3 linked regions of the Anolis sagrei genome follow. The protein of the gene in region 3 interacts with the protein of the main gene of each other region in a pairwise test. Links are inferred from orthologs where the notes say so. Each region holds a gene or a part of one and is shown on either strand. Other genes may lie near its edges.

Evidence for each region.
Region 1: the proteins of UBE2U (region 3) and TRIM32 interact in binary tests that used the Homo sapiens proteins (3 or more experiments, as listed by UniProt). The link is inferred for Anolis sagrei from reciprocal best matches to the Homo sapiens genes UBE2U and TRIM32.
Region 2: the proteins of UBE2U (region 3) and RNF144B interact in a two-hybrid assay, tested with the Homo sapiens proteins (2 studies listed by BioGRID and IntAct). The link is inferred for Anolis sagrei from reciprocal best matches to the Homo sapiens genes UBE2U and RNF144B.

The regions. Positions count from the first base shown.
Region 1 is NC_090031.1:11,303,030-11,314,159, reverse strand, and holds the start of TRIM32 (E3 ubiquitin-protein ligase TRIM32), read right to left. Parts: upstream 4,603-11,130; 5' UTR 4,500-4,602; intron 1,621-4,499; 5' UTR 1,586-1,620; coding exon 1-1,585. UniProt on the Homo sapiens protein: E3 ubiquitin ligase that plays a role in various biological processes including neural stem cell differentiation, innate immunity, inflammatory resonse and autophagy.
Region 2 is NC_090024.1:79,796,891-79,808,288, forward strand, and holds the start of RNF144B (E3 ubiquitin-protein ligase RNF144B), read right to left. Parts: upstream 5,504-11,398; 5' UTR 5,115-5,503; coding exon 5,099-5,114; intron 1-5,098.
Region 3 is NC_090024.1:166,391,582-166,403,008, reverse strand, and holds the start of UBE2U (ubiquitin-conjugating enzyme E2 U), read left to right. Parts: upstream 1-5,959; 5' UTR 5,960-6,094; coding exon 6,095-6,163; intron 6,164-8,228; coding exon 8,229-8,310; intron 8,311-9,748; coding exon 9,749-9,841; intron 9,842-11,427. UniProt on the Homo sapiens protein: Catalyzes the covalent attachment of ubiquitin to other proteins.

The sequences.
Region 1 (11,130 bases), on a different chromosome or scaffold from region 3:
TGAAGTAGATCATCCCTTCGGCATCGCAAGTCACAAACTTTGGCCGCACCGCGCTGCACAAGCAGCTGTACTTCACCACCCCGACCCCACGGTCGACGGTGAAACACCAAAGCTTTCCCCCTTCCACGTCCGTTACGACGAACTGTCCCGACGGGAGAGCGGTGATGCCCCATGGCTTGCTCAGTTGACTCCGGTGACAGGCCACACAATGCCCGTCGATGGTGTAGACCTTCACCGAATTGTCGTAACTGTCGGTGACGCCAATCAAGCCGTGACAGTTCATGGTGACCGAGAGAGGAGTCAAGTTGGGCAGATCCGCACCTAAGAAGCTGAGTACGAAGCTATCGATGCCGCTAGGGCTCCGGCGAATCTCCTTCAGGAAGCCCTTGCGGGTGAAGACTTGGATACGGAAGTTTCCACGGTCGGCTACAAGCACTTCTCCTTGGGGGGTGACGTGCAGGCTGACTGGCAGGTTAAACGTCCCAGGCGTGCTTCCTTTGGAGCCCATCTTCTTGAGGAAGTGGCACTGCTGGATGCTGGTGGCCGCTTCAGGCACCCTCGGCTTGGCAGGGGAAGGGCAGCTGGGAAGAGAGTTGGCTTCCTCCTCTGCCACGTCGGCCTCCCTAAAGGACACCGAAGCCGCCGCCGCTGCCATCTCCATTAGCGATTCCTCCACGTTGATGCTTCGCGGTTTCTTCACCACTTGTCCGATCTGAAGCGGACCAACGCGGCCCACCTTCAGCAGCTCCACGTCTTGCAGGGTCAGCTCTTTGGGGAGGCTGTTCATCAACTCCGGCTCCTCCTCGTCCCCGCCTTCCTCAAGAAGGGCCATGTCCCCCTGCTTGATTTTGGCAAGGAAGTAGTCGCACCGAGACACGATCTGCACCTCGGCGATGTTCAGCAGGTAGGCTTGCTCCTCCATGATCTGGCTATTGACCTTCTCCACCTCCGAGAGGGAGTTCGTGAAGAACTTACGAGAACGTGCCAACTCCTCTTGGACCTTGCGCTCTTCTTTGCCGTACTCCTGCAGGACCGCTTTGTACCTGACTTGGAGGTCCTTCGAAACCCCTTCCAAGGAGGTCTTCCGTTTCTGAAGGTCTCCCATCAGCTCCCGCAAGCGGCCAAGCTTGGCTCCGAACTCCCTTCTCCGCTCGTCGGCGGCCTCTTTGATGACCACCACGGCGTGACCCTGCTGCGTGTGGTCGGCCTCCTTACAAGGCTCGCAGAGGACCAAGCCGCAGCTCTTACAGAAGTGCTTGGGTAGTCGGCGCCCACACGCCTTGCACATTAGGAGGCCCACAGTCTCGCCAAGGCCCGCCGTGTCGATGATCTTCAGCACGGTCAGGTTGTCATTGAGCTGGGCCAGGTTCGTGATGCGCGTGACTTTGCTACAGAACGGGCAGCGGATCCCGTTGATGCTGTTGGCCAGGAGCTTCTCAGAGCACTGTCTGCAGATGGTGTGCCCGCAGTGCAGCAGCTTCGGCCTCAGGTGTTCCTCGGTAAAGCACTCCATGCAAATAGGGCACTCCAAGACTTCACGTAGAGCGTCTGAGTTGAGTTGCGGAGCAGCAGCCATGGTTGCCATGGGTAGGCTGGTTGCATTTATTCCAAACTTTAGTCCTGAATAGGAAGAGAGAAAGAGAAGAGATTGATCTCTCAGTGCTGACATTCAGCCTCTATAGGATTCTAGAGTTGGAGAAGACCCCAAGGTTCCTCGAGGACAATTCAGGAAGACATCATGCAAATATTCCCAACAAAATTGCCATCCAACCTTAGTAGATAACCCTCGTTTCATCAATTTATTTCTTGGATGTGACTTTTCTCAAGTTCAAACTTTATTTATTTAATATTTACAGTATTTATATTCTGCCCTTCTCACCCCACAGGGGACTCAAGGCGGATCACAATGCACATATACATGGCAAACATTCAATGCCATCGACACACAACATATATAGACACACAGAGGCTATTTAACTTTCCAGCTTTTTGAATTCTGGCCACCAGGGGAGCTGTCGCTTCACCATGCACTTGTGACACCGTTTGAATACTTCCTCATTCTTTTACATGCTGCTGGAGAGTTTTATGGCATCGTAAATTAGTTAAATTAGCCTTCCTGCATAAGCGATACCTAAATTTCCTACTTGTCTTTCAGGCTGCAAAGGTCGACAGCAGACTGAGAACACAGCAAGCTTAAAAATGTAGTTTGGAAAGGCGAGGCCCCCAGTAGCAGAGAATGCAAGAAAACCCTGCCCCAAACTACATTTCCCAAAATGCAATGCTCAGCATCAGAAAGACCCAGTGATGGCTGCAGCCAGCTGACTGTTCAGAGTCAATCTAATAATCAAAAATAAAATTATTTAATCTGATGAATGACCAGCTCTCTTTGGCAGAGAAAGGTGATGGCCTAATAATAATAATAATAATAATAATAATAATAATAATAATAATAATAATAATGTAATAATACATAACATACTAGTAAAATAATAATAATAATAATAATAATAATAATAATAATAATAATAATCTGGTGAAGCACCAAGACTTCTTTGGCAGAGAAGAGTGATGGCCTAATAATAATAATAATAATAATAATAATATTAATAATAATGAGGTCTAGCCCTTCACCAAACTACAACTCTCCAAAGCTTTCTCGGTCAAAAAGTTGTAGTTTGGTGAAGAGGGCCAGCCCTCTTTGGCAGAGAATGGTGATGGTGTAATAAGAATAATACAGTAGTAATAGCAATAATAATAATAAGAGTAATAGTAGTAGTAGTAGTAGTAATAATAATAATAATCTGGTGAAGGACCAGCCCTCTTTGGCAGAGAATCATAGAATCATAGAGTTGGAAGAGACCTCATGGGCCATCCAGTCCAACCTCCTGCCAAGAAGCAGGAAAATCGCACTCAAAGCACCCCCAACAGATGGTCATCCAGCTTCTGTTTAAAAGCCTCCAAAGACACTATTATGCCATCAGAAGGGTAATGGCATAATGACAACAATAATAACAATACTACTAATAACAATACTACTACTAATAATAATACAATAATGATAATGATAATAATAATAATAATCTGGTGAAGGACCAGCCCTCTTTGGCAGAGATGGGTGATGGTGTGATGATGATGATGATGATGATGATGATAATAATCTGGTGAAGGACTAGCCCTTTTTAACCAAGAAGGCTGGAGGCCTAATAATAATAATAATAATAATAATAATAATATAGTAAGAATAATAATAGTATAATAATAATAAAAATGTGGTGAAGGACTAACCCCCTTTGGCAGAGAAGGGTGATGGCGTAATAATAAATAGTAATAAAAATAGTAATAGTTTTAATATAATAATAATAATAATAATAATAATAATCTGGCAAAGGACCAGCTCCCTTTGGTAGAGAAGGGTGATGGCATAATAATAATAATAATAATAATAATAATAATAATAATAATATAGTAAAGGTAAAGGTAGTCCCCTGACATTAAGTCCAGTCATGTCTGACTCTGGGGTGTGGTGCTCATCTCCATTTCTAAGCCGAAGAGCCAGCGTTGTCCGTAGACACCTCCAAGGTCATGTGGCTGGCATGACTGCATGGAGCGGTACCTATTGATCTACTCACATTTGCATGTTTTCGAACTGCTAGGTTGGCAGAAGCTAGGGCTGACAGCGGAAGCTCACGCCGCTCCCCGGAATCGAACCTGCGACCTTTCACTCAACAAGCTCAGCAGCTCAGTGCTTTAACCCACTGCGCCACCGGGGGCTCAATAATAATATAGTAATAATAATAGTATAATAATAATAATAATAATAATAATAATAATCTGGTGAAGGCCCAGCCCCCTTTAGCAGAGAATGGTTGATGGCCTAATCATCATCATCATCATCATCATCATCTGGTGAAGGCCCAGCCCACTTTGGCAGAGAAGGGTGATTGCCTAATAATAATAATAATAATAATAATAATAATAATAATAATAATCTGGTGAAGGACCAGCTCCCTTTGGCAGAGAAGGGTGATGGTGTAATAATAATAATATAGTAATAATAATAGTAATAATAATAATCATCATCATCATCTGGTCAAGGACCAGCCCCCCTTTGGCAGATGGCCTTGCAAAACCACAACTCCTAGGGTCCCATAGCATCCAGCTATAGCAGCTAAAGTGGTATCAAACTGCATTAACTGGACAGTGTAGATGCACCCTGTGTCTCCTAATCTGCATGGATAGATTCCAAAATCAGATTTGGGGGAGAGGAAATCCTAAAATGAAAATACAGATCCCAGGCATTTGAGGACAAAGGCAGACTTGTATGCAGAATTACATAAAAGAGCTGATTGCAGCATTTCTTGCAAATCTCTGCAGCAAATCCATGAGGAATGCAAGCTGGGGGAAAGCTAAATAGGGGATCAGAGGCTGAGAGAGTGTGCCTGCCCATGGCACCTCTTGTGCATCCCAAAAAAACCCCCAAAGCAGAGGCCCTTTCCTACCTGCTTGGCTTGCTTTCGCTTTGCAGGCTTGCTTTCTCCTTCCAGCAGCTGCAGCAAAAGCCTTTGTTCCTTCCTGGGCTCTGCGCTTGCGCAGTCAGTCCCCTGCGATGCACCGCCCCTGCGCCTGCGCACACGCATGTACACAAAGCTTCCAGGGAAAGCCGGGGAAATGACGTTCTTTCCTAAGGTACCGAGTTCGAATCCCGGGAAGGTCATATAGAAGTAAGATTTTTTTTTTAAAGGTTAAAAATCAGAATTATAATCTGGTGTGTGTGTATATATATGTGCTTTATTATAAGAGCAGAAAAAATAACTATGTCATACAAACTAACACTCTTTTGAGTCTAATACATTACTGTCTAATTCAAAAATGGAGTCTCAGTCTGAATAGTCCCAGATCTGATCACATAGTCAGTATTATAATCTGGGGTGTGTGTGTATATATGTATGTGTTATTACATGAGCAAAAAAAATAACTATGTCATACAAACTAACACTCTTTTGAGTCTAATTACTGAACACTGTTTAATTCAAAAATGGAGTCTCAGTCTGAATAGTCCCAGATCTGATCACATGGTCAGTCAGTATTATAATCTGGGGTGTGTGTATATATATGTATGTGTTATTATATGAGCAGAAAAAAATAACTATGTCATACAAACTAACACTCTGTTGAGTCTAATACATCACTGAACACTAATTCAAAAATGGAGTCTCAGTCTGAATAGTCCCAGATCTGATCACATGGTCAGTCAGTATTATAATCTGGGGTGTGTGTATATATATGTATGTGTTATTACATGAGCAAAAAAAAAATAAGTCATACAAACTAACACTCTTTTGAGTCTAATACATTACTGTCTAATTCAAAAATGGAGTCTCAGTCTGAATAGTCCCAGATCTGATCACATGGTCAGCAGTCTCTCCCACAAACTTAACATAAAGGGAAAACTGTATACCAATATACAAATATTAGCTTGTGTTGCCAGAGTTATTTGGAAAAGCCACTTTTGTACCAAATGCATAAGGTTGTGGGTGAACTACAACTCCCATCATGCCAGGTTCACCCCCTGAAAAACTCCATCTGTACTTAAAGTTTGTGAAAAGCTTGGGTTATTTGGAAAAGCCACTTTTGTACCAAATGTATAAGGTTGTGGGTGAACTACAACTCCCATCATGCCAGGTTCACCCCCTGAAAAACTCCATCTGTACTTCAAGTTTGTGATGTTGGGGAAGTTTGCTCTAGATGCATCATGGGTGGGGTTCAGTGTGCTCTCTGGTTGTGGGTGAACTACAACTCCCATAGTGTTAAGTCAGTTGCCTCAAAGCCCTACAGTAGGTTGAGTTAGTTATGGGGGTTCTGTGCACCAAGTTTGGTCCAGATCCATCATCGGTGGAGGTCACTGTTTCCCTGGTTGTGGGTGAACTACAACTCTCCCAACCTCTCCAGTATTTTCAGTGTGCTCTCTGGCTGAAGGGTGAACTACAATTCCCACTATGGTGAGTCAGCCTCCTCAAACCCCACCTGAGGGTTTTGTATGCCAAGTTTGGACCAGGTCCATCATCAGTGGAGGTCACAGTTTTTCTAGTTGTGGGTGAACTACAACTCCCAGAAAGGAAAATCGGTTTCCCCAAAACCCCTTTAGTAATCACATGTCAGCATACCAGGCCTGTGTGCCAAGTTGGGTCCATATCCATTGGTGTTTGGGTTCACAGTGTTCTCTGGATGTAGGTGAACTACAACTCCCCCAAAGTAAGGTTAATCTCCCCCAAAGACCTCCAGTATTTTTTTGCTGGTCATGGCGGCTCTGTGTTCCAAGTTTGGTCCAATTCCATCTTTGGTGAAATTCAGTGTTTTCATTGTTTGTAGGTGAACTATAAATCCCAGTACCCACAACTCCAAAATGTCCAGGCCAATTCCTTTCAAAACCCATCATTATTCAAATTTGAACATATTGGGTATGCATGCCAAGTTTGGTCCAGATCCATCATTGTTTGGGTTCATAGTGTGCTCTGGATGTAGGTGAACTACAACTCCCATAAATCCCTCCAAAGACCTCCAGTATGTATTGTTGGTCATGGGGGGTTCTGTGTGCCAAGTTAGTTCCAGATCCATCATTGATAGAGTTCAGAGTGATCTTAGATTGCAGGTGAACTACACATCCCAGTACCTACAACTCCTACAAATCATGAATTCTCCCCAAACCTCTCTAGTATGTTCAGTTGTTGATCACTTCCTCTATTTGCTGTGCCATAGAAATAGGAAAGGTTAAGGGAGAGGCAGTGGTTGGAGTCATGCAAATTCCACGCTAATGGAGAGAGAAAGGAACACTAGGATGTCTGTGGTGGAGGAAACATATACAATCTAGGATGAAATTGTCCCTGTATGAAAGCCTTCACTTGGATGGTGGGAAGTGTGGTGTTTGTAGAGGAAACATTTTGAAACTTCCCTTTTTTCCCATAGGAAGTCTTTGGAAACATTGTTTACTTTTCCTAAAACAATCCCCATTGTTTACCATTTGTGTTGCCATTTTTACAAACAACTAAAACAGACACAGTTGTCTCTCAGGGCCCTTCCACACAGCCACATAATCCAGATTATCAAAGCAGATCATCCACAGTATCTACTTTGAACTGGATTATATGAGTCTACACTGCCATATAACCCAGTTCAAAGCAAATAATCTGGATTTTGTATGGCAGTGTAGAAGGGGCCTCAATAAACCTCAAACTGGGTTGCTTTGAGTTTTCTTCACTGTCCATGTTCCGGAAGCATTCCCTCCTGATGTTTCGCCCACATCTATGGCAGGCATCCTCTGAGGTTGTGAGGTCTGTTGGAAACTAAGCAAGTGAGGTTTATATACCTGCGAAATAATGTCCAGGGTGGGAGAAAGAACTCTTGTCTGTTTGAGGTATCTATTGCACTGATTGTTTTTAAGTGCAGGCCAAGACCTTTAGGTACTGCACCCAGTGTGCCGATCACCACTGGCACCACCTTGACTGGCTTGTGCCAGAATCTTCGCAGTTCAATCATCATTATTATTATTATTATTAGGTTGTTGTGAGTTTTTTTCAGCTGTCTGGCCATATTCCGGAAGCATTCTCTCCTGATGTTTCGCCTGCATCTATGGCAGGTATCCTCAAAGGTTTTGAGGTCTGTTGGAAACTAGGCAAGTGGGGTTAATATACCTGTGGAATAATGTCCAGGGTGGGAGAAAGAACACTTGTCTGTTTGAGGTACCCATTGCACCGATTGTTTTTAAGTGCAGGCCAAAGTCTTTAGGCACTGAACCCAGTGTGTCGATCACCACTGGCACCACCTTGACTGGCTTGTGCCAGAATCTTTGCAGTTTGATATATTATTATTATTATTATTATTATTATTATTATTATTATTATTATTAGGTTGTTGAGAGTTTTCTGGGCTGTCTGACCATGTTCTGGAAGCATTCTCTCCTGATGTTTCACCCACATCTATGGCAGGCATCCTCTGAGGTTGTGAGGTCTGTTGGAAACTAGGCAAGTGGGGTTAATATACCTGTGGAATAATGTCCAGGGTGGGAGAAAGAACTCTTGTCTATTTGAGGTACCCATTGCACCAATTGTTTTTAAATACAGGCCAAGATCTTTAGGTACTGCACCCAGTGTGCTAATCACCACTGGGACCACTTTGACTGGCTTGTGCCAGAATCTTTGCAGTTCGATCATTATTATTATTATTATTATTATTATTATTATTATTAGGTTGTTGTGAGTTTTTTTCAGCTGTCTGGCTATATTCCGGAAGCATTCTCTCCTGACATTTCGTCCACATCTATGGCAGGCATCCTCAGAGTTTGTGAAGTCTGTTGAAAACTAGGCAAGTGGGGTTAATATACCTGTAGAATAATGTCCAGGGTGGGAGAAAGAACTCTTGTCTGTTGGAGATAGGTATGAATGTTGCAATTGGCCACCTTGATTAACATTTAACAACCCAGCAGTTTTCAAGGTGTGGCTTCATACTGTCTGGGGGAATCTTTTGTTGAGAGGTGATTAGCTGTCCCCGATTGTTTCTTGTCTGGAGTTCCCCTGTTTTTGAATGTTGTTCTTTATTTACTGTTAGGATAAGCATACAAACATATATACAAACAAACAAACAAACATATATATTGTTGTTGTTCATTCGTTCAGTCGTCTCCGACTCTTCGTGACCTCATGGACCAGTCCACGCCAGAGCTCCCTGTTGGCCGTCACCACCCCCAGCTCCTTCAAAGTCAGTTCAGTAAATATATATGTGTGTGTGTGTGTGTGTGTAAACATATATATATATATATGTTTGTTTATATATAAACACACACACACACACACACACATATATATATATATATACATACATATATACAAACATATATATAAACATACACACATGCCTGCAGACACACACATACATATATACACACACACATATATACACAACCAAACATACCTGCAGGCATTCTGTATAAATAAAAATGTATTTCCATTGATGGGAACCACATATCTCCCAAACCTTGAGAAACTACAAGTCGTTTCCGACGTGAGAGAATTTTCCGTCTCCAAGGATGTTCCCAAAAGGGATGCCCAGATGCTTGACCATCCTGTGAGAGGCTTCTCTTTAAAGAGATGTGAGAAGTCCAGGGTGGGGAAAACAACTCTTTTCTGCTTGAGCCAGGTGTGAATGTTGCAATTGCCCACCTTGATTACCTTTGAAAAGCCTTGCAGCTTAAAAGCCTGGCTTCTTCCTGCTTGTGGGAAACCATTGTGGGGAGGTGTTCCCTAGAGGAGATTGTTGCATGTCTGGAATTCCTCTGTTTTTTAAGGACCACAGCAACGCATGGCTGGGTACAGCTAGTGTCATAATACACATGTCATATTGATTCCATTTGTCCTATGAGTTAAACTTAGCCGCACTTCAGTGGACACATGGCGCATTGCACCCTCTTGGTAGTCTCTGGCCCTCCATTGAAGCCTTAGGGACCCCTATCTGCCCTGGGCTTTTGTGTGTTATCCTTTGTCTCCCTCTGGTGGGCACATCGCGCATTGTGCCCTCTTGTTAATCTGATCCTCCATTGATGCCTTATATTAATTATTATCATTATTATTATTATTATTATTATTAATAATAATAATAATAATAAATTTATGACATTTATAGGCATCTATTTGCCCAGGACTCCTATGTGTAATCTTTTGCCATTGGTTTTCTGGCCATGTTCCAGAAGCATTCTCTCCTGACGTTTCACCCACATTCATGGCAGGCATCCTCTTAAGTTGTGAGGTCTGTTGGAAACTAGGCAAGTGGGGTTAATATACCTGTGGAATAATATCCAGCGTGGAAAGAACTCTTATCTGTTGGAGACAAGTGTGAATGCTGCAACTGGCTATTTTGATTAGCATCAAATTGCTTTGCAGCTTCAAAGCCTGGCTGTTTCCTGCCTGGGGGAATCCTTTGTTGGGAGGTATTATTATTATTATTAACTTTATTTGTATCCCGCTAGCATCTCCCGAAGGACTCAATGCGGCTTACACAGGCCAAGGCCTCAATAAAACAGCAATATAACAAATACACATACACCAATAGCAAATCAAAACATTAACCAATAACAGTAAGCAGTAAAAACAGTACACCATAACACAATAAAAAACTAGGCCGGGCCAAATGTGATGGGTACAGATTAAAAATGGTTGTTTCCTGCCTGGGGGAATCCTTTGTTGGGATGTGTTAGCTGGCCCTGATAGTTTCCTGTCTGGAATTCCCATTTTCTGAGGGTTGTTTTTCATTTACTGTCCTAATTTTAGAGTTCTTTTAATATTGGTAGCCACAAAACAGGGAATTCCAAAGTGGACCAGCTAACACATCCCAACAAAGGATTCCCCCAGGAAGGAAGCATCTAGGCTTTGAAGCTGCAAGGCTATTCAATGCTTATCACAGTGGCTAATTGCAACATTCACACTTGCCTCCAACATACAAGAGATATATTTTTCTCCCACCCTGGACATTATTCTACAGATAGATTAATAGATTGATAGATTGATAGATAGATACATAGATAGATAGATAGATGCATAGATACATAGATAGATAGACTGATAGATTGATAGATTGATACATAGATAGATAGATAGATAGATAGATAGATGCATAGATACATAGATAGACTGATAGACTGATAGATTGATAGATGCATAGATACATAGATAAATAGACTGATAGATAGATAGATAGATAGATAGATAGATAGATAGATAGATAGATAGATAGATAGATAGATAGATGATAGATAGATACATACATAGATAGATAGATACATAGATAGATAGATAGATAGATGCATAGATACATAGATAGACTGATAGATTGATAGATAGATGCATAGATACATAGATAAATAGACGATAGATAGATAGATAGATAGATAGATAGATAGATAGATAGATAGATAGATAGACACACCCACACACCATTTTCCCAATTTCCAATAGCCCTCACAACCTCTGAGGATGCCTGCCATAGATGTGGCTGAAATATCAGGAGAGAATGCTTCTGGAACATGGCCAGACAGCCCAGAAAACTCACAGCAATCCAGTGATTCCAGCCATGAAAGCCTTCTAG
Region 2 (11,398 bases), about 87 Mb from region 3:
TTTCTATAACAGTGGTTCCCAATCTGTGGCCCGTGGACCACCAGAGGTCCACGAGAACTAAAATATAGTCCGTAGCCTCACTATTACGATACCATTGCCATGAGTGACTGGTCTGGCAAAACCATCTTATAGTGCCGAGGCTTATTATGGTTTTCTGTGAGCAAGCAGATGGCAACTACTGGGTGGCATATGTTCTGTATCAGAAACTAGAGCTGGTGTGGTCTATCCAATGTAATTTTCTGAGCCAGCACCCCAAATAACCAAACCAAAAACTGATTTGTAACCCTTTTGGTACTAATGTTGGAGAGTCGTCCCTGGTCAAAGTGCTCCCTTGTCAAGTGCTCCCTGGTCAAAAAAATATTGAGAACCACTGATCTATTATAATACCGTATAATACCAAAGCAGGTTTAACATTGAAACATTAGCTAATATAGGCCCCATATTAAACTTCATTATATGTTCAATACAGACTCATAAAATGCAGTAATGCAGTTGAAACACGTGGTGGCAGAGTAGGTTAAACTGCTAAGCGGCAGAACTTAATGACCGGAAGGTCGGCGGTTCTAATCTCCAGGGTGAGTTCCCGCTGTTAGCCCCAGCTTCTGCCAACCTAGCACTTCGAAAACATGCAAATGTGAGTAGATCAATCGGTACCGTTTTGGCAGGAAGGTAACGGTGCTCCATGCAGTCATGCTGGCCACATGACAACGCCGGCTCTTTGGCTTAGAAAAGGAGATGAATACCACCACCCAGAGTTGGACTCGACTAGACTTAATGTCAAGGAGAAACCTTTACCTTTACTTTACACTGACCATATGATGTCATTTGAAATTGCATTATATATCAGTGTATATGGGGCAGTTGTTATACATAGCAAAAGCACAAAGCAAAGTTATAGAAAGCATGGCAGAGCCTAAACATACATTCCTGACATCTGCACTGAACCATGAAAGTCAGGGCATCCCTGTCTGTTGCCTTGACCTCAATAGAGGAAAGGACAACTAGAGATGTAACCAATAGATAATACAAATGTATTTTTTGTGAATCTACCTAGAAGTCTGGGGCGGGGAACATGTATTTCCAAATGTTGTTGGGCTATGACTCCCAACAACTCTTTTGCAGAATGCTAGGAAATACAGTCCAAAAAGATCTCAAAGGGCATATTTTGCCAACCCCTGTTCTAAATGAAAGGAAAAGTTAGCAAATAAACCAAAACAAACAAAAATACTACAAGGCCATGCTTATTGAAGTGGAAGGTCAACCCCTTTGGGGACATGATCTGCAACAGAAAGAGCCAAGTCAGCACAAGTAAGAGGCCTTTGAAACTGAACCGGCATTGATGAGATCAGGGCGAGGTTTCTTTAAGGTCAGAAACTACAGCCATGCCAAAGTATTCCATTTGTTTGCTTAATACCAGCAGAATATCAAGCTTCAGGACTGTCAAGGATTCCAACAGGAAAGTATGTTGTGGTTTCCTTAAGGTAGCCCTTCTCAAGCCAAGGAAAGCTGGTGATTCAGGATTTTCCAATGGTCTTGTTTTGTGGCAAGCATGTTAAATTTATTTTCATTGCTGTTTGACAGTTTTGTAACAGGGGTGTAACAAAATTTCATTAGAATGGTGCTATTGGTTTGTTTTTCTGCAATTGACTTTTAAAGGCACTATTGCAAGGGAGATGCAAAATTATTGCCACTGCAGACGTCGCAGCAATGTGTACCATCTCCCTTTTCAATACTGTTTCCAATGCGCATGGACCAGTGTGCCAAAGCTACTTTCCTTAGTTGGACCTGTAAAATAGGGAAATAAGTAGATTGTTTGTGTTCAAAGATAACTACTTGAAGAACCAGTTACAGATAAACAACTTTTTCTTCAGGACCTCTAGGATTCAGACAAATAGTTGATTAACCCATTATAGAAAATTCAAGTGAAGATAGATGGCAAAATTCCAATACAGTATACACTAGTGTGCTCTCAACTTGATAGTGCTTGAAGGACATTGTGTGTTGAAAGGAACACAGTGAACTAAAAAGAAATGAAGGAGCAGGTGTGAGGTGGTATAGTTCCCACCAAAGCTGCTCAAATCTAAAACATTCCCAATGAGACCGTGTATAGGCACAAAGACCAGTTTGTGTGATTCCCAAGGACTTTAAAGAAGAAATTACTTTATAACTGTTGCTAACCTTATCCCAGCCTTCAGTGACATTGTGTATACTTTCTTCTATTCTGAGGGTGGATCTAGACAGCCCCTTTATTCAGAAATTTCTGCAATAAAAATGGGACTGTCCTTTTATTGCAGAACGTTCTGGACAATCCCGAATTAATTCACCACAAACCAGGAAAACCCTGGTTTTATAAACCCAATACTTCTTTATAAACCCAATACTTTATAAACCCAATACTTTAGAAACCCAATACTTCTATATTATAAACCCAATACTTTATAAACCCAATACTTCTAGTGTCTGGACTGCAGTCCAGACACCATTCCCACAATTTTCCAGGCTAAATTAGCCCAGAAAACTGTGGGAATACCCACCCCTCCCTCAAAGTGCTTTAAAAAAAGCTTTTAAAAAATAAAAGTACTTACCGGTTTCCATAGAGCTGCAGCAGCTCTCCCAGCACATAGAAATGACGTGCCAGGAGGGGGAGGAAAATCACTCCACTCCCCCCCCCCCCCCCGCTTCTCCTGGTGTGTCATTTCTACGCACCAGGAGAGCTGCTGCAGCTATCCTATTTTATTTTTAAAGGGGTTTTTAGGATTTTTGGGAGGGGGGTAGGGTCTCCCTGAAGGACATCTGGATACCCACCCCAGAAATCACATGCTTTCTGGGGTGTGTGTGGACAAGCCCCCAGGAACCTCCACATTTTTTAAACGCAGAGGCTCCTGGGATAACGGCCTGTCTGGAAAGGCTAATTGTAAGACACACTCTACTTTCAGTATCACCAACAGGAAAAATGCTATATATGTGTGTGTTACATGCTTGATAGATGCAGGTAATACTATGGATGTAGCATATCATGATTTCAGTAATGCCTTTGACTAGGTTCCCCGTGGTCTTCTTTCAAAATAAACTAGTAAATGTGGGATAGCTAATACTACTGTTAGGTGGATTTTTAATTGATTAATTGACCAAACCCAAAGGGTGCTCACCTATTGTTCCTCTTCATCCTGGAAAGAAGTTACTAGTGGAGTGCCGCAGGGTTCAGTCCTGGACCCAGTTCTGTTCAACATCTTTATTCATGACTTTGATGAAGATTTAGAGGGCATGCTTATAAGTTTACAGATGACATCAAATTGGGAGGGATAGCTAATACTCCAGAGGACAGGATCAGATTTCAAAACGACCTAAACAAATTAGAGAGTTGGGCCAAAACTAACAAAATAAATTGCAACAAGGACAAATGTAAGATACTACACTTAGGCAGAAAAAATGAAACACAAGGATACAGGATGGGTGATGCCTGGCTTAGTGAACAACAAGTTAAACATGAGCCAACAATGTGATGCAGCAGCTTAAAAGGCCAATGGAATTTTGGGTTGCATCAAAAGGAATACAGTATCTTGATTAAGGGAAATAATGGTGGCTCTCTTTCTGCTTTGGTCAGACCTCACCTCGAATACCGTGTCAAATTGTGGGCATCACAATTTAAGAGGTATTGACAAGCTGGAACATGTCCAGAGGAGGGTGACTAAAATTATCAAAGGTCTGGAGATCATGCGCTATGAAGAGCATCTTGAAGAGGTGGGTATGTTTAACATGCAGAAGAGAAGGTTGAGAGGAGACATGATAGCCATGTTTAAATAGTTGAAAAGATACCCTAAGAAAGAGGGTGCGGGCTTGTTTTCTGATGCTCTGGAGACTAGGACTTGGAGCAATGGGTTCAAATTACAGAAAAGGAGATTACACTTAAACATTAGGAAGAACTTCCTGACTGTTAAGAGCTATTCAGCAGTGGAACTATCTGCCTCAGAGTATGGTGGAAGTTCCTCCCTTGGAAGCTTTTAAACAGAGGCTGGATGGCCATCTGTCAGGGGTACTTTGATTGTGATTTTCCTGCATGGCAACAGGTTGGACTAGATGGCCCATGTGGTTTCTTTCAACTCTATAATTCTATTATTCTGTGTGTGTCTGTGTGTGTGTATTTGTATACATTTTTAGAGATGTTTATACAGTATAGGGAAAAGTATGTCTTGGAACTGAATAAATACAGCAACTATAATATATTCCTTGGAAAATTATGTGCCAATATTTTGATCAGTGTCAGATATACAACATGATCCCCGTATCAGAAAGGAAAACATTCTTGGGCTTACTGTGAAGATGTGAAACTGGGTAATCATGAACCTTATTGAAATGAACGACTGAAATGAAAGCACACCACAGACTAGCACTAGAGGACCTAGAAAATGCCTAGAGAGGTCTTTCCATTATTTCTAGGTCCTCCACTGCAACTTGGTCAGCTTCAGGAGGAAGCATACCATAGAATCATGCTGGGAGACTTAGAAAAATGTCCAGATAGGACATTTTTTCAGACATGGCTAAGTGAACAATCATATTGTAAGAATATCCAGCACATAAATGTATTAGCCTGTCTGAAGGCACCAGATCTCATCTAATCTTGGAAGCTAAGCAGGATCAGACTTATTTTCCACACTGTGGACCTGGATGGAACAGATCATGAATGCACCAATTTTACTCAAATATTAGGAAATGATAATACCTTGCAAGAGAGCTTGGTCTTTTAAAAGGCCATAAACACCAGCATATTCTTCAACACATGGGCATCTAATTTTGTCCTGATGAGGACTGTGTGGGTAGTTCTTCTGGGTCTCCTGAACTGAATTTAATGGCAAATTTCCACAAGCTTTCTCTGTGGCAATGCTGTATGGGTGAATGTACCGTAGCTGCTTCAAGAAAACTGCGGTAAGAGCATAACTGAACCACTAGAAGGCATCATGCCCAGCACACACACATTTCCACTTCACCACAAATATGACTGCAATGCCTTGCCATAAATTTGCCAAGCTAACAGTTTGCAAAAGAAGCTTTGAGAGTGAAAAGATTTGGGAAACCAAGATTATATGCACAATATATTTACCATTATACAGCAGCATAGAGTGAGTCCATCTTTCTTCTGTGCTTTGGCAGAGAATAGAGTCTAAAACAGTCTGGAAGCTGGTTCTACTGGATGCAGCTTGTGTCTTGCCTCTTCTCTTCTAGCCGATGGAGCTTTCTTCAATGAGGCAGATAAGGTAGTAATAACAGCTTCAGGTCCAGGAAATTACAAAAAAAAAAAAAACCTGAAGTAGACTTTTGTTATGCTTCTTAATTTTGCCCATATTTCCTTGCATACTTATCTTTCCATATTTTCAAGAGGATCTTCAGAAGTTATCTCCATGCTCACCAGACAGAATTGGACAACTGCTAACTACTATGGAAATTCCTTTGCCATTCATACATCTTCCGCTTGGGCTCAGTCTGTGAACGGCAGAGTTGTTACTCTTTAGAACTGTCCTCAGCTGAATAGGAGATTTACAAATGCAGCCGGCTTTTTCGCCCCACAGAAATTGATACAGGCAGTTTGTGTCTGAAGGCACCTCCTCCTCCTACAAAGGGCAAATTCATTCTGCATTACAGGTCAGGAATACAGTGGAGGAGTCTGTCTAAGACTCTAAGGATTCTGAGAACTACTGCCTTGGCAACTGAAGTAGGGAGTAAGGAAGCCTTCCCACAAAAGAAAGATGCTCACTCAGTGTAGCAATGTGATTATCAGGAAATATGTACTATACCAGTACTCTTAGGAACAACATAAAAGAAGGAGAACAAAGTTGTTACTCTTTGAGTTTAGGACAGTAATATGTATTCAAGCCTGTCAGTAAAAAAGTGAGCAATCCAATATGTACCTTGCATATAAATAAGTAAATGTTTAAATAGTGTATAGGTTTAGACTGAATCACTAAGTCCTCCAGTGCAAGTCTGTGGTCACTTTTGCCAGACTTTGGGTTGGAGGACCCAGAAATTTATAGGGAGGAGATCTGTGTTAAAAAAACAGGTTTTTTTATTTGTGTTTGTTCCACTTTCTTGGGGGCCCTGTACCCTTTGCCCCTAACCAAGGGTAACACTACCAAGATATAAAATGCATGTAAACTATATATTATACAGATTAAAGGACAGACATAAGCAGAATATTTGCTCCATGCAAGAAATTTTAATTGATGAGGTACTTTTCCACAATGAAATAGGTTATGTTTGTAAAAAAAAAAAAATCAAAAGGTCATAATCCATACATATGAAAACATTGACTTTTTAAGCATCACTTTTAAAACTATTGTCTGTTTTTAGCATTCCTGCTGCTTAAGGCCAATACCTAATATCAAAGCTGGTTTGATTTTTATTTATTTACTTACTCGCTTACTTACTTCATTTTTACCCCGCCTTTCTCACCCTCAGGGGACTCAAGGCAGCTTACTAACTCTGCCAAAATTCAATGCCACATGGACATAACACACCCCATCAAATTATAAACAGTTAAACATATGAACAATTAAAAACAGATTAAACCCATATAAACTGCCTAGACTTGATCTCATACATAGTCATTTTCCAAAGTCCAAAGTCATTATTCAGGCTGCTGAAGTCTAATTCCATAATAACTTATTCACCAAACGCCTGCGTGCAAAGGGTTTTCCTCTCCCGCTTTCTAGTGGGACAAAAGGAGCATGAAGTTGAATTACTTTCTACAATTACTAGATTAGGTTGGCTGGGAAATTTTAACACGTTTAGTTATTTTCTGGGTACACACGTGAAAAGCATGAGAATGAGGCAGAGTGTTGTGAGTGCTAATCTTTTGCTGTGTGTTTCTCAATTGAATCTTCTTTATCAGAGTTGATAAAATTAATTTATACCCATAGGACCCTATCTGACTATACTGCTAATTGGTCTAAATCTGAGGTTATACCTGTTGAGGCAGCCTCAATCTTGCTTTCTTGCCAACAGATAATTTGCTGTTTTCCAGAAGCTATTAAATATTTCAGCATATTTTGGGGGAGATGTTCGATTAAACCGAATTTCTCCATGTTGCTTGCTGAAGTAATTTGGGTGCAGTCATTACTCAAATTATTTAGATCAAGGGTAATATGCTTAAGATATGTGACCACAGGTACTGTATATTCTTCACGTGTTTTAGTGGATATCCCTCAGATTTAGTTTCAGAAAATAAATACTGGACAGAGGGCCCAGCCATATAACCATATATATCAAGGCAGAAAATCCCACAATTTTTTTATTTGAACAGGTGATCCTTCCAGACAGGCTCCATATTCCAGGATCTGATCCCAGGTTTTCTGATTTAAACTGGATTATATGAGTCCATACTGCCAGATAATCTGGGATGAATAGAAAACCGGGGATCAGATCCTGGAGTATAGGGCCTGTCTGGAAGGGCCCTGAGTTATCTGAGTCCACACTGCCATATATTCCAGTTCAAAGCAGAAAATGTGGGATTTGATTCAGCTGTGTGGAAGGGGTTTCCTCATTCAAACTGATGCAGGTGTCAAAAAGTGAATACAATCCCCTATTTTTAAAATTCAAAACTTCTGGTGAAAAGAGCACCGAGTTGCTTTTATGTTAATTACTGACATAAAATTCGAAGCCTGGCAGAGGAAAACAGCATATAATTTTTGGCTAATCCGGACACCAGAAAGCAGCCCTTTTCTCCAATTTTCTTCTATTGAAGTTTAAATTACCTAGCACGTTCCAGCTGTTTACAAATCCTACAATCCTGTTACTAGCTAGGACTGGCAGCCCAACACAGCTGGAAAGTCCCAGGTTGGGAAGAGCTGTTGTATAGTATCTAACAATCTATACTTTAGTTTTACTAATTTAGTTTTATTACTAAAATACCACTTTGTTCCTTTTCTTTCTGTCAATATGCATTACTAGCCAATATGAATACTGGGCACTCATTATGGATTGTTTAAGGGAGAAATTGAAACATGCCTATCAAAATACTCTTTAAATAACTTTGAAAAGTAAGTAAAAGTCAGTACAACATGTTACTGGTTGCACCAGGGACAGAAATCATGAGGCTTTCTAAATGTTGGACTGCATAGCCAATGGTGGGGAATATGATAGCCCACTTCAAAGCAATTATTATGGAATTTTCTGCCTTGATATTCTGGGTTACATGGCTGTGTGGAAGGGCCCTGAGCAGCACACCCCTGGAGTTATCATTGCTGAAAGAACTAAAGTACAAAGGTGTTGTGATTTTAATTTGCTCTAAAGTATACATCATGCTGACTCCTGTCTGAATATGTTAATCAACCATAATTATAACCAAATACTGTGGTCCTAATTCTGACATAATAAGAATATATGATAATAAAGCAAAAAACCCATCTTCCCAATGTGATAGACAAAACCAGAACACAGAAGTCAAGAGTTATGCATTAATTTTAAGTAGGCGAATTCTTAGAATAAAAAACATTAGACCACCTATAATAGTAATAGTATCTGAAATACGAACTATCAAAAAAAATCATTTAACATTTCTCTTGGTGATGCAGTTATGATGATTTATGAAGTACTTAATTATTTTCCCTTCAATCCAAAAGATCAAAATTGGATGCCAGCCAGTAGAGTTACCCACTGCAAACTACGGGCAGATCATGTTTACCATATATACAGAAGATCGTTTCTGTTTTTTACCTGCAGAGAGAACCATTATGCAGGTACAAAAACTCAGTTACGTGGTAATTATATTTAATTTTGGACTTTCACAGTACTCTCCATTCTTTCAAAAGTATGTAACAACCTAATTACTAATTTAGCTTCTTAGCCATAGGAGCCCATTGTACATCAGAGTACTATCTACAGTCTTATTTTTGTCAAGATTAATGACAGAGCTCTGTTTACAGAGCAGAGGGTTGTCTTTCAAGACAACCACTTGCCAGAATCTGCATTTCTTTATAGCATTCTGTTTCAGTTGTGTTTTCAACATAATTATCCTGAAGTGGTAGTGTGTTTCTGCCTCTTTTGTTATCCTTGAACTAGAGCCGCATGGCGGTTCCTGATCAGTCAATCGTTATACAATAATATTTATTTTCATTAATTTTGATTTATTGTATTACATCACACCATCCATGAAAAGAATTCAAAAGCATTGTACCTCAGGCTGGTTTATTCTGATACATTCATGACACAGTACATCAAGTTAGAATGCACTATAAGGGCTCCCCCAAGTCCAGCTCAAGGTACTGGTGCTTATTTGTAAAACTCTAAACAGCATGGTTCCCAATATTTCAAAAAGCATCTCTTCCCATTTGTTTTGGGGAAAGTGTATTATGCATGTCTGAAAGAAAAAATCTTTCTCTTAACTTTGAAAGTCCTCTGAAGATCCTTTTGGCACTACAGTCCTTTTCTATTATCTGATCATTTTACAGATCAGAGCTCGTGCTTAATTTATTTTTCTCAGGTATTATTTCATAATACATTATATTGTTTAACACAGTATTGAGGAGCTTTCTAACCAAGGTGAAAGAAGAAATTGTGGATTGCAGTTAAACATCAAAAAACCAAGATTATGACGACCAGACTGATGGATAACTGGCAAATAGAAGGAGAAAATGTGGAGGCAGTGACAGACTTAGTATTTCTAGGCGCAAAGATTACTGCAGACAGAGACTGCATCAAGGAAATCAGAAGACGTTTACTTCTTGGTAGGAGAGCAATGGGCAATCTCAATAAAATAGTGAAGAAACATTACACTGGCAATGAAGATCCGCATAGTTAAAGCAATGGTATTCCCCATAGTAATGTATGGGTGTGCAAGCTGGACCATAAAGAAGGCTGAGCGAAGGAAGATAGACACTTTTGAACTGTGGTGCTGGAGGAAAATTCTGAGAGTGCCTTGGACCCCAAGAAGATCCAATCAGTCCATACTTCAGGAAATAAAGCCCGACTGCTCACTGGAGGGAAGGATAGTAGAGGCAAAGATGAAGTACTTTGGCCAGATCATGAGAAGAAAGAAAAGCTTAGAGAAGACAATGATGCTGGGGAAAATGGAAGGAAAAAGGAAGAGAGGCCGGCCAAGGGCAAGATGGATGGATGGCATCCTTGAAGTGACTGGATTGACCATGAAGGAGCTGGGGGTGGTGACAGCCGACAGAGAGCTCTGTCATGGGCTGGTCCATGAGGTCACGAAGAGTCAGAAATGACTGAACAAATGAACAACTGTAATCATCTTTAATCTTTAATGAAATTGTTTTTATTTTGTGAGTCACACTGGGGACTCTGGTCAAAACAGAATGCAAAGCTATATAGACCAATCTACAAACATCATTAAAAAGTTGGTCTTCGCCCTATTGTAACAATACTGAAAGTAAAAATGGGCACAAAAAATTAACTGTCTACTTTCAGAACCATACATAGAAATTAGAAATTGATGGGAGTTGCAGTACCTTCACACACATCCAGAGACCACTGCGAGCCTCATCATTGATGGATTTGGACGAAATTTGGCACATAGATCCTCCCCCACCACTAAAACTGGAACAAAATATTTTTCACTGGGACTTTTGGGGGTTAGTTGGTTTAGAGGGGGGAAGATGAGTAGAAAGAAATTTCTCAGGGGATTGGGCTCTCCTGACATTTCACTTGCATTTATGGCAGGCATCCTCAAAGGTGGTGAGGTCTGTTGCCTAAGGATGTTTACGTATCTGTGGAATGTCCAGGGTAGGAGAAAGAACTCTTGTCTGCTTGAGGAAGGTGTGAATGTTGCAGTTGGCCACCTTGATTAGCATTTAATGGTCTTGTCGCTTCAATGCCTGACTGGTTGCTGCCTGGGGGATCCTTTGTTGGGAGGTGTTAGCTGGCCCTGATTGGATTGTCTGGGCTTCCCTGGCTTTTTGAGTCTTTACTTTCTGTCGTGATTTTAGAGGGTGTTTTTTAGTACTAGTAGCCAGATTTTGTTCATTTTTATGAATATTAGGTTTGTTACACCATTGTAAATAGCTCCCTATGCTTGTGTACTATACGAATTGAGTATTCTCATGATCAATTGAACTGATAGTTTTGCTGAAGTTTACAGCAACAGGACATAATAATAATAATAATTTTTTTAAAAACTGTATTTGTACCCCGCTACCATCTCCCCAAGGGACTCGGAGCGGCTTACATGAGGCCAAGCCCACAATACATCAATAAACAAAACATCAATAAAACAATCAATACAATACAATTCATATAAATCACATAAACAAAAAATAAGCAATAAACAATCAACAGTGACATACAAGCATTTAAAACCAATGGCCGGGCCAAATGTAATAGATTAAAATTAAAAAAATAATGCTGACGTGAACAAGGTAGGATATAACTGGGATAGGATTTTCAGAGAGAA
Region 3 (11,427 bases):
TTGGACCACCCCAGCCCAGGAATACAGTATCGCCATATAAACAGTTGAATCCAGTTCTGATCTCGGAACCGACTCTGAGAATCTGAAACAAATTTGGTTTATTTGGAATCCCAGGAAAACACCAAAGCAACCCACGACTTTTGTTAACATATTTCAAGGTCATGTTAACCTGAATCGGCTCTGTGCATCATGTAACCAATTCTCTCTCTGCCCTTTGGGTTATATGTTTACGTAGATGTGCCCTTTATGTGCTTGACTGTGAAAAATGGTAGTCTGGTCATAACTAACAAAGTTAAAAATCAAGAGCACTAAAAACCAGATGGATTCATGGCTGCTTTTGAGTCTTCTGTAACCCAAAGAAAATCCAACCGTATATGGTCTTCCAGTGTTTCTGGCTTTTCCATCATCATATACTTTATAGGGAAAGTTCAGAAAACTACACTTCCATACAATGTAAATTGCAGGCAATACTCTGGGTAAGTAGACTAGCTGTTCTTCTCAATGGAAAGTTTGTCAATGATAGGAAACATATCTCATGTGCAAGATGCACTTTGTTAATAAAATGGTGAAACAACAAATTGAATTCCACAGGGAGATAATAAAGAAAGAAAAGCTCCTCAACATAAATTGGATAATGCTGAAAAAATATATTTGCCAAACACTTTCCAGATTGCAAAACCAGATGCTAAGATGGTTTCTGACCAGAGAGAGAGAAAAATATCTTGAATTGTAAAATCATTTCTGCACCTTTTTCAAATGCTCTAAAAGTAATATTTGAAACTATTATAGGTAATGAAATTTAAAAAGATTCAAATGCTTTAGAGATAAACAGTTTGTAAGAGCTTAGGAATGTCTCACTAAAAGGCAACATGAGTTTCTCAAAAACAAGTAATTGCAGATTAATCATACCTCTCTTTTTTAATAGGGCTTGAAACTTTGTAAATGAAAGGAATACTATGGGTCTAGCATACCTTAGATTGCAATAAAGCTTTTTACAAGGTTTCCCATAATATTTTTGCAAATGAGGTAGCAAACTGCTACTGTTAAGTGGATTTATACTTGACTGACCAACCAAACCCAGAGGGTGCTTACCAATGGCTTATCCTGGAGAGAAGTGACTTGTGGGGTGCCATGATACTGTGTCCTGAGACCAGTAGTCTTCAACATTTTTATGTAAGACTTGGGTGATTTTTTTTCATGTCAGGAGCGATTTGAGAAACTGCAAATCGCTTCTGGTGTGAGAGAATTGGCTGTCTGCAAGGACATTGCCCAGGGGAACGCCCCGATGTTTTGATGTTTTACCATCCTTGTGGGAGGCTTCTCTCATGTTCCCACATGGGAAGCTGGAGCTGACAGGGAGCTCATCCACGCTCTCCCCAGATTCGAACCTGCGACCTGTTGGTCTTCAGTCCTGCCAGCACAAGGGTTTAACCCACTGCGCCACCGGGCGTTTGCTTATCAGATATTCAAATGACACCCTATTAGGAGGGATCCTTGAGATTGCATCAGAATTCAAGACGACTATAAGAGATTGGAGAGCTAAGCCAAAACTAACAAAATGAATTTCAGCAGGGATATTGAACACCAGTAACAAAACACAGAGACCAGACACATGATTTGGAATGAAATAAGTGCAGTTTTATTGACCTAAACATGATGACACAGGGAGAACCTTTTTCCATAGTGTCACCATTAAATTCAGAACTGCCACACAGTGAGTTCAAGACTGAAAATAAAAATTGCAAAGTGCATGAGAACTTGTGTAAACATAGAGGAAGATGAGTGCTTGACCCCAAAAAAAGAATCAAAATGTGATTTTATGGTATTTATTTTAATGATTTTATCAGACAGTGTGGTTTGCTGAGTCTATAACATGAAACCAGAATTCAAATACCTCAGCCATGGAAACTGACTGGGCAAGTCACTCTCTTTTGGCAAAGGTAAGAAAAAAATAAACCCACTTAAAAATCTTACCAAGGAATTCCTATGATAGGTTTGTCTTAAGGCCATAGGTTGGAAATGACTTGAAGGTGTAGTATAATGTAGTGGCTTGCGTACAGATTTGGTGAAATGCAGTGGTTCAAATACTGGACTAAGACTCCAGAAGATGAGGGTTCGTATCCCTGCTCGGCCGTGGAAACCCATATTCTATCAGCTTCAAAACGAGGCAAAAGCAAATTCCTCTCTGAACAAATCTTGCCAAGAAAATCCTATGATCCAATTGTCTTAGGATCACCATAAGACAGAAGGCACACAACATCAGGAATATTTGCTGATCCTGGAACTACAATTCACATACTGAGCTTCCAAGGATACACTCACTTTGGAGGAAAGAGCAATACACGCTAATGTATATAAGGCACTTTGAGCATGCTAAGGAGTACTATACATGCTAATTATGAATGCCTTAGATCTTTGGTATTTCAATTTGTTCAGCTTTGCAGGATTATCGATGTGCATGTTCAGAAAAGGTGCCAGAACCAATTAACAAATTCAACATTTCAAAAATCTTTAGAAATAATATATGTAATGCCTAGAGCTAGAGAAAAAACGAATAAAACAAAAATGAATAAAATACTCTCCCTGCTTCCATCTGTTATGAATATTTTCTTCTGTCAACAGGAAATAGTTGCCAAATTCTCCTCTTCTATTGAACATGGAAAATACAGCTGTATCAGAAAGGTTTATTGATGCTGGAGATTGGTGATACAGCTCTTATTCATACAAACCACATCCACTAATTTTCCGAAGAGGTCTGTCTCCTGGCTGGATCTTCAATAACCAAGGTCATCATTCAGCACAACGTTAGTCTCTCTGTGGGCCTACAAAACCCTTGATTCCTCAATGTGGCAACAATTTTTAAAAACATTGCCTTTTTATGGAACATGATGATACAGCCTCGTTTCTTCGTCTTTGATATGGAAAGCATAAGAACAGTTATATTGCCAGTGTAATAGCAAGTATTAAAAATTCAGATGTAACACTGTAAACATTTACCAAACTGATCTCTGAAGGAGTGGAAGACGTAGAATTATTAAAAGCACCTGTAGAGTACACAGAGTGGCAGGCTGATTTCATTTCCAGGTATAGCTATCATTCTGCTCCATTTAGCACTAAGGATCTTAAGAAAACCCTTACCTAACTATCCCTAAAAGCACTAGTTTTGAAGCTAAGTAGGGTCCAGCTGTGGTTATTACTTGAATGAGAAGCCACCAATGAATATCAAGTGCTGCCAGCTCTATTTAAGAGGAAGAAACTGGCAAAAACAGCTCTACAACAGTCCTTGTCCATGGGGGTCACCATAAATGGACTTGAAGGTCTATGCCCTCAAACGCCAGGAGAGGACCCTCTACGGCTTTGCCAGCTAAAGACAGCGCCTTCAAGCACACAGCGAACACACATTCCAAGAAGCAAGATTCCAGGTAACCCTCCAAATGAAGTTTATGAGGTGTACATTCAGTTTGAAACAAACAGAAACTGTTAAGGCTCGCTCCAACCAATTTGCTTTCAAATGGAAACAAATGTTCAATAGATCAAATGTGAATGAATGATAGTCCCATTCAAAGCTTCCATTAACAGCTCTATAAGATTATATGCCTCTTTGGACTTCAGAGCAAATACCTGCTTTTGGCAGCTTCTGCTTTTCCCAGGATGCCCTGGCAACAGGATTCCAGGGCATTTGGATCATAAAAGTAATTGAAATCCAACCATCATCAAATTGCTTTGGAATGATTCTGCACTGAAGTATTTGAGGAAGGGATGATGGAGCTCACCAGCCATAATTGCCAAAGTCCATTTCCATTCATTCAGGGAAGTAATGTTTCTTTAAATAGACCCCCAAAAAAGTCTGTGCAAAGAAGAGATGAATGCATACCACAAATTTAAAAAATGAACCAATGAAAGAAACTCCAAACAAAAACAAAATGAAAATATCTTGCAGATTCGTTTGACACAAATGTTGTTTTATGTATGTAAGAAAAGTGGGTTAAGTGAAAGAACAAGAGACCTCTAAAGTTAGAGGTATCCAGCAGAACAAGATGTATTCCTTTTGGAATTCCAAGAGATGATTAGAGAAGTAGATAGGGAATGTTTGGATATGAAGTGTTAAGAAAACGTGTGAATTCATTTTCATTTATTCTCTCTTGCTCGCCTTAAAAAAGCTCTGAGGATTATCTGTGGCATAGCAGCACACAAAAATACCTGGGTGTTACCCTGGACTGTGCTCTGACTTACAAGAAGCACTATCAATCAAAAAGTGGGTGCTAGTAATAATATACAAAAGCTGACTGACACAACCTGAGGAATCACTACCAGACACAGTGAAGACATCTGCCCTTGCGCTCTGCTACTCTGCTGCTGAATATGTGGAACACATCCCACCATGTTAAAACAGTGGATGTGGCTCTTAATGAGATGTGCCATATTATCACAGGATGTCTACACCCAACACCACTGGATAAATTATACTGTTTAACTGGTATTGCACCACCTGACATCCGCCGGGAAGTAGCAGCCAATAATGAAAGGACCAAGGCAATTACATGTCCGGCCCATCCTCTGTTCGGATATCAGCCAGTACGCTAACACCTTAAATCAAGAAATAGCTTTCTAAGATCTGCAGAGATACTCACAGGAACACCTCAGCAAATGAGAGTCCAAAGTGGAAGGCTAAAACCCAGAACCTCAATCGATGGCTGATACCAAACGAGAGACGAGAGACTCCCTCCTGGGCACACAGAAGACTGGGCAACTTGGAAGTTGCTGAACAGACTGCGCTCTGCCACCACAAAATACAGAACCAACCTTAAGAAATGGGGCTACAAAGTGGAGCCCACAACATGCAAGTGTGGAGATGAGCAACCATAGACCACCTATTACAATGCAGTCTGAGCCCTGCCGCATGCACAATGAAGGTCCCTTTTACAACAACACCAGAGACACTCCAAGTGGCCAACATCTGGTCAAAGGACATTTAGTATAATGCCAAGATTTTCACTTTGATTGTGTTTTTAAATACATTACAACTGTACCTTCAGTTCACTCCTGACAAAATAAATAAAATAAAATCTTCTAAGTAGAATGCTGCAGTTATATGACTTTCTTGAAAAACTGTCCAGATATAATCACAGCCAAATGGGGAGGAAATACTCCTTTCCCAAAACTTCCAGACAGGCCGTATATCCCAGGCTCTGATCCCAGGTTTTATGTTTATCCCAGATTATCTGGCAGTAGGGATTCATATAATCTAGTTTAAAGCAGAAAACCTGGGATATAGGGCTGTCTGGAAGGGCCCTAAGAACCACGGGATCCATGTCACCTTTCTCAACCTGCTTATCTTAAGACAGAATATTGCTATTACATCACCTTCCTTAGTTTTCCCCCCACCCAGCCAAATTTCAAGTTAGAAGTTGGAATAGATGGCTCTTGTGGTCCCTTCCTACCCAATGATTCTGTTACTTCTTCGATAGTCCATACACATCTCTCTGGGCTGCTTAAGCCAAACAATCAGACAGATGTAAGAGGGGAGGCTGGGTAGTTTAATTGTCTTTTCTGAACTTCTCCTAGCTTTCAAAGCCTGCCCTCTTGTAATCTGACCTCTGCAGAAAATGAGAACCGATGTAATCATGTCTGGATAAAAAGTGGCTTCTAATTGGATGACTACAGAAGGAGAAAAGAAAACCTGTTCCAATTGGCTGTGAGAGTTCTATTCCAAACAAATTGTACACAGCTTTGTGTTGCTAGGTTACGTTTGATACACTGAGTATTCTAGCCTCCTCGCTTTGCCTTTCCTGTGGATGCTGAGGCTGTATAGGAAGAAGCAATGGATCAAAGTGGATCTCTTTGCTGCCCCTGACACAAAAACTACCTTAAAGCTTAACGTTTATGGGATTCAGATCCTCTCTTCTAGGACTGCATTGGAAAGAGATTGTTCCATTTACTTGTATTTGCCTGGCACATGAGGAGGTGTACCAGTTTAAAGAGAATCACTTTTATCACCCCATTTCACCTTCACACCTGTCTTTAGGACAAATTCTCCAGATTTTCTTTGGCCTCAAACAACTGAAACACAAACAAGAAGAAGATTTTTGCAATCATGATGCACACAAGAGCTTTCTTACTGCTGGAAAAAGAGTTTATGGAGTATGAAGAGTCTAACATCTTTGTGAGTACCATTGGGTTGCACCCAGTTTGTTTATAATGAACAAGGTCACTATATATTGTGTGAAGGCTATCACAGCTGGAATCACTGGAGTGTTGTGTGGTTTCTGGGCTATATGGCCATGTTCTAGAAGCATTTTCTCTTGAAGTTTCACATGCAACTGTGGCTGGCATCTTCAGAAGTCGTAAGGTTACTATAGGTTGAGTCTACTAACCACACAACATTCCAAGGTTACTATAGGCTGAGTATCCCTTATCCAGAATTCTGAGATCCAAAATACTCCAGATTTGGCTAAGATGGTGACACCTTTCTGTACAGAAAGTTTGATTCCTCCACAAATATTGAGTATAAAATTACTTTCAGATTATATGTGTAAGATTATATGAAAGATAAATGAACATTATGTTTAGATTTGGGTCCCATCCCCGAGATATCCCATTGTGTATATGCAAGCATTCTAAAATTCACTACAAATCTGAAATATGGAATATTTCTGGTCTCAGACATTTCAGATAAGGGATACTGAAACTGGAGTGGTTGTCCTGAGTATTAGTATAATAGAGCTGCACTTTCATTCTCTCTCTTGTCCTATAAATCTAGAATGGCTGGAACAATCCCCTGGCTGGATAGAGAGGTTTTATTTAAACTTTTTAGATAAACAAAAGAGAAAGCCTCACCCTTCTTAAATGATTTGAGTTAAATGACTGACACTCCGCCCTCCAAGGGGTAGGAGAAACAATTTGCTACATAGGTTTACTAGGAACTTGTCTCTTCTCACTATAAAAACTGCTAATGAAAAAGTTAGTGCTTGGGATGCAGCATTCTTTCTTTCCATATTTGATCATAAGATTGCCATACTTTATATTAATGATAAGCAGGGGTCCGTGTACCAAACTCCAGCCCACTTATTTAGACAGGAGTCATACTACAGAATTGCACTGAAGGACCTAGAGAGGCCTGGGGCGAGGGATAGATGAGTGAAACCATGAATATCAAACCCATGCATATGGGGGTTATATTGTAGTAAGTTACAGTTCACTAGGACCTCATCACACAGGGCTGAAATCAGTGGCATGTGCCAATTTAGCCCCAATCACCCCATGAAGCCAGCTGGCATTTCCATGGGTGAAGGTGGTTGGAGCCAGCACATGTCACCACCATGGCAACACAGGAGACTTCACCTGTTGCTGTTGACTTTAAGGGGGGAAAGCTGCACACTGCACACATGCACCATGCTTCCCCCATGGTTTCAGCTGACAGGCAATGTGGGGCGTGGGGTGGCAACTTCCCCATGCCTCCCAGCAAGTGGAGCACTGTGGGAGATTTTCTGCAGCCTTGGGAAGTTCTTGAACATCATTATCACACATGGGCCAAAATCCTCTCTACATCCCTCATGGGGGGAAGGTGTGTCAGGTAAAAGCTGGGTTTGTGGTGATTTGTCATTATGCAAGGCTATTAAAGAAATTCCACCTACAATGACTACAATCATAATTAGATAAAAATAACCCTACTGGTCACACTAGCTGAGTTCTGAACCAATGGTTTGGAATGTCTCTACCCTGGCATGAGCAAACTTCGGCCCTCCAGATCTTTTGGACTTCAACTCCCACAATTCTTAACTGCTTACAACTGTTAGGAATTGTGGGTGTTGAAGTCCAAAACACCTGAAGGTGTTTGTTCATGCCTGCTCTACACAGTAGGATTAATGCTGCTTGATACTACTTAAACTGCCATGGATCAATACTATGGGATCCTGAGGTTAGCAATTTAGCAAGACATGTACTCCTTGGCAGAGAAGGGTAAAGGCCTTGTAAAACTTCAACTCCCAAGATTCCAAAGCATTGGACCATAGCAGCTAAGTGGTGTCAAACTGTAGCCGTGCTATAGTAGAGATGCACTCCAAGCCAATGGTCCAGAACCCAGCTAGTGTCAGCTAATAGTTGTGGTATTTTTACATAACAATTTCCTGTGACATATGCAAAAGTAGGGGGAAGGACTTCCATTAAGCCTGATTCAGGTCATTGTATTAAGAAGTGTAATAGTCAACTGCCATTTCCCTCTTCTTTAGGGTATTTCTATTACTCCCGTGGGAGACAACTTGATGGAATGGATAGCTGAAATAGAAGGACTGAAGGATTCCCTATGGGAAGGTAGCTATCTTGTTTCCCAACTTTTTTTGTACGATGTGATATGATATGCTTAAAACAATTATGGATAAAATATATTAATCTTGCATTCATGCTTTCAATAAAGTTTTTGCAGAGCATATTGCAATCTATGTTGTCATAAACTCCACAGTTAGATGATGCTTTATCTTATAAGGACAAACCATCTGCGTGCAAGCTTTTGAGGGATCTTATCATACATTATATTACAAAAAGAAAGGAGGAAAGTGGAATTGATGGAAGGGTCATGAAGTCGGTGCCGTGAAAGTGGATTAGAGGTTCTGGTGTCAACTGAGTTTTAGTCATACATAGGACAATTGGAACATACTGGAAGCCTATGGTCTTAGGTAGGGTGAGCATTATCCCACAATGGCAGGATAACTCGGAGAGAGAGGGGAGAGAGATGGGGGGAGGTTGGTCCCAGGTCAACACTGCAAATATATTAGGGCCCACATTTTTTTAAATGGATAATCAAGTTGTTACTCACGCTGCTTCCAGACAGCAATTTACCATGGGAGAAAACCGGTTAAAGTAACCTTTTTTCTCCAGTGTAGCTGTACGCACGGGTACCCAAAAGAAGCAGGCTTTCCCATACGTTGTCCCCGTTATAGCACAGTAATAACTGTAATACAGTGAGGAAAACCCAAATCCCACTTCCTAAAACCTTGAAATTTTCAGGAAATTCCAGGTCTAATTAATTATCAAATTAATCTGGGACAAAGCAGAGTTTTCCTGCTTTATCTCAAATTAATTCGGTTTTACCAGAGACATTGTTTGGAGACCTCTGGTAAAACCGTAGGCGCGCCTGTGTTATGGGTCCTGTCTGGATGAGCCCTCAGGTTTGTCTCCAAGCTAGAATAAAACAGGCAAATAACAAGCATATAAATCAGGCATGGGCAAATTTCAGCCCTCCAGGTATTTTGGACTTCAACTCCCACAGCCAGTAAGCTGTTAAGAATTGTGATAGTTGAAGTCAAAAACACCTGGAGGGCCTAAGTTTGCCCATGCCTGATATAAATTCAAAGGTGCAAGAGATAACAGCTGCCTATTTCCTACTGAAAGGAATTAATTCAGGTCCATGTTGTGAAATGTCGAGATTAACTAAAAACTCTTGTTGTTGTTTATTAATGTCCTTCCTTCTGTTCAAAACTGGAAATGAAGACATCTGCATAAGGCTTCAGTCTGCATCCACTAAATTCAACAAGATTTGCTTCTAAGTTAAAGTAACATTGGGGTGTTTTTTTTTTTGCTTGTTTTTAATATTAAAGTATATCAAAATGATAATTCTTTATTTCAAATCAATCCAATTAATTGACTTGAGGAAGGCAGGCTAAACAAATGGTAGTAAACTAAAGAAAAGTAACATTGTTTTGTTTGTACCTGTGTTATACTTCTTATATGTAATTTATTTTTTCTGTATTAGGAGCCGAACTCCAACTATCACTGCTGTACAATGAAAATTACAACAAAATCCCCCCACAAGTTAATTTCAACACCATTCCTTTCCATCCCAATGGTAAGGATGTTATTAATTGTTGTCCATTTCAGAGGTGAAGGACTGGCAGCAAAACTAGCACCATTGTACTTTTAGATTTCAGACAGTGGTTGTACTTCAGTAACTGAAAGTAATTTTATCATTACAATGCTTTATCAGCAGTATTTACAGCAACTTTTTCTTCCCAAATATAGTTACATTTTTTCCAAGAACTTAAGACTGCATCTCAAAGTAATCCAAAGCTGATTAGGTTGAAAAAGAGTGGCTTGCTAAAAAGCCCCAAAAAATAAGTTGCTAAAGTACTAGTCAATGCATCTGTCCTCATTTTCAAAAAACCAATACATTGGCCGCTGAAGATGCAGTGTTTTAAGGTTTTCCAAAAATGTACACCAAGATGTAATGACTATTTAAAGACATTTTGGTGTGTGTGTATACACACACACACATATATGTATATGTCTGCATTTTCCTAGCCAGCAAGGCAGCATGCACTTTTTAAAATCTCTATGATCCTCCTCCATTTATGAAATTTGAAGTCTTCTTATGAAGAGCAGTTCCTTTTCAACAGTAGCACCAAATATGAAAATACTTCCACCAGGAGACCTGCCCAACAAAGCTCTCTGCCCTCCGAGGGCACTTCTAGATAATGCCAAAATCCACATTTTAGAAATGAGTAAAAAAAAAAAATACCGGGACCTGACAGCAGGTCCACACAAATACCTGTCAGTCCCAAGGTATTGTCTCCTGCCGTCCTCACAGCCTTCTGTCCTCACAAGCTGGAGAGCAGATGGAGGACATTCAGCAGAAGTTTTTTGAAATGTAAAATTCCGTCCGTTTTGCACTGGATTGTATATGCACACATGTAAATATCTTAATATAAAGACAAACAAATTTGCATGTGCACATATGACATCCAGCGCATAACGGAGGGAATTTTTAAAAAACTTCTGTCAGATCTTCCTTTCCCCAGTTGTTAATTCAAGCTCTGTTTAATATTACAAAGTGTAAGCGAGTTTCGGAGAGTTCTAACTGCTTTTCATTTGGGGTTCTCTTGATTCACCTGTGTGTCTGTTTGACAGCTCGATCAGCTGTTTTGGGCTCTTAAAAAGCACACGTGTGCTGGAGTAGTCCACACAGGGGGAAGGGAAGGAAAGCACATGTTTAGCATGACTGCAGGGATATATAGTCATACAAAGGTTCACTTTTATCAGGCTGAATCGGATTTTAAGCGTACCGTTAAACACATGCTTTTTAGCTCTTAACCCAATCTCTCTCACACTTTGGCAAAATATTATTTAGCGCCCGCCCCCTCCTTTAATCCCGGTTACTTCCGATTTTACAGCATGTATATGAGGGCCTTGTGTCCAGATAAAAACACAAAGGAGGCAATTGAGATTGTAACTCTGTTAACAATTTTGTTTTGTTTGTTTTTTGTTTTTTATGAGCTTTTGCTAATATAATTAAAACTGTTTCATTTTTCCCTGTTCCTGCATTTGTAATTATTTTTGCTCTTCCAGTTCTTATTTGTTCAAAGTTTCCATGGTTTGAAATGGTTACTTTGAATCCTTTTATCATACAGGTTGAGTATTCCTTACTTGTTTGGGGCC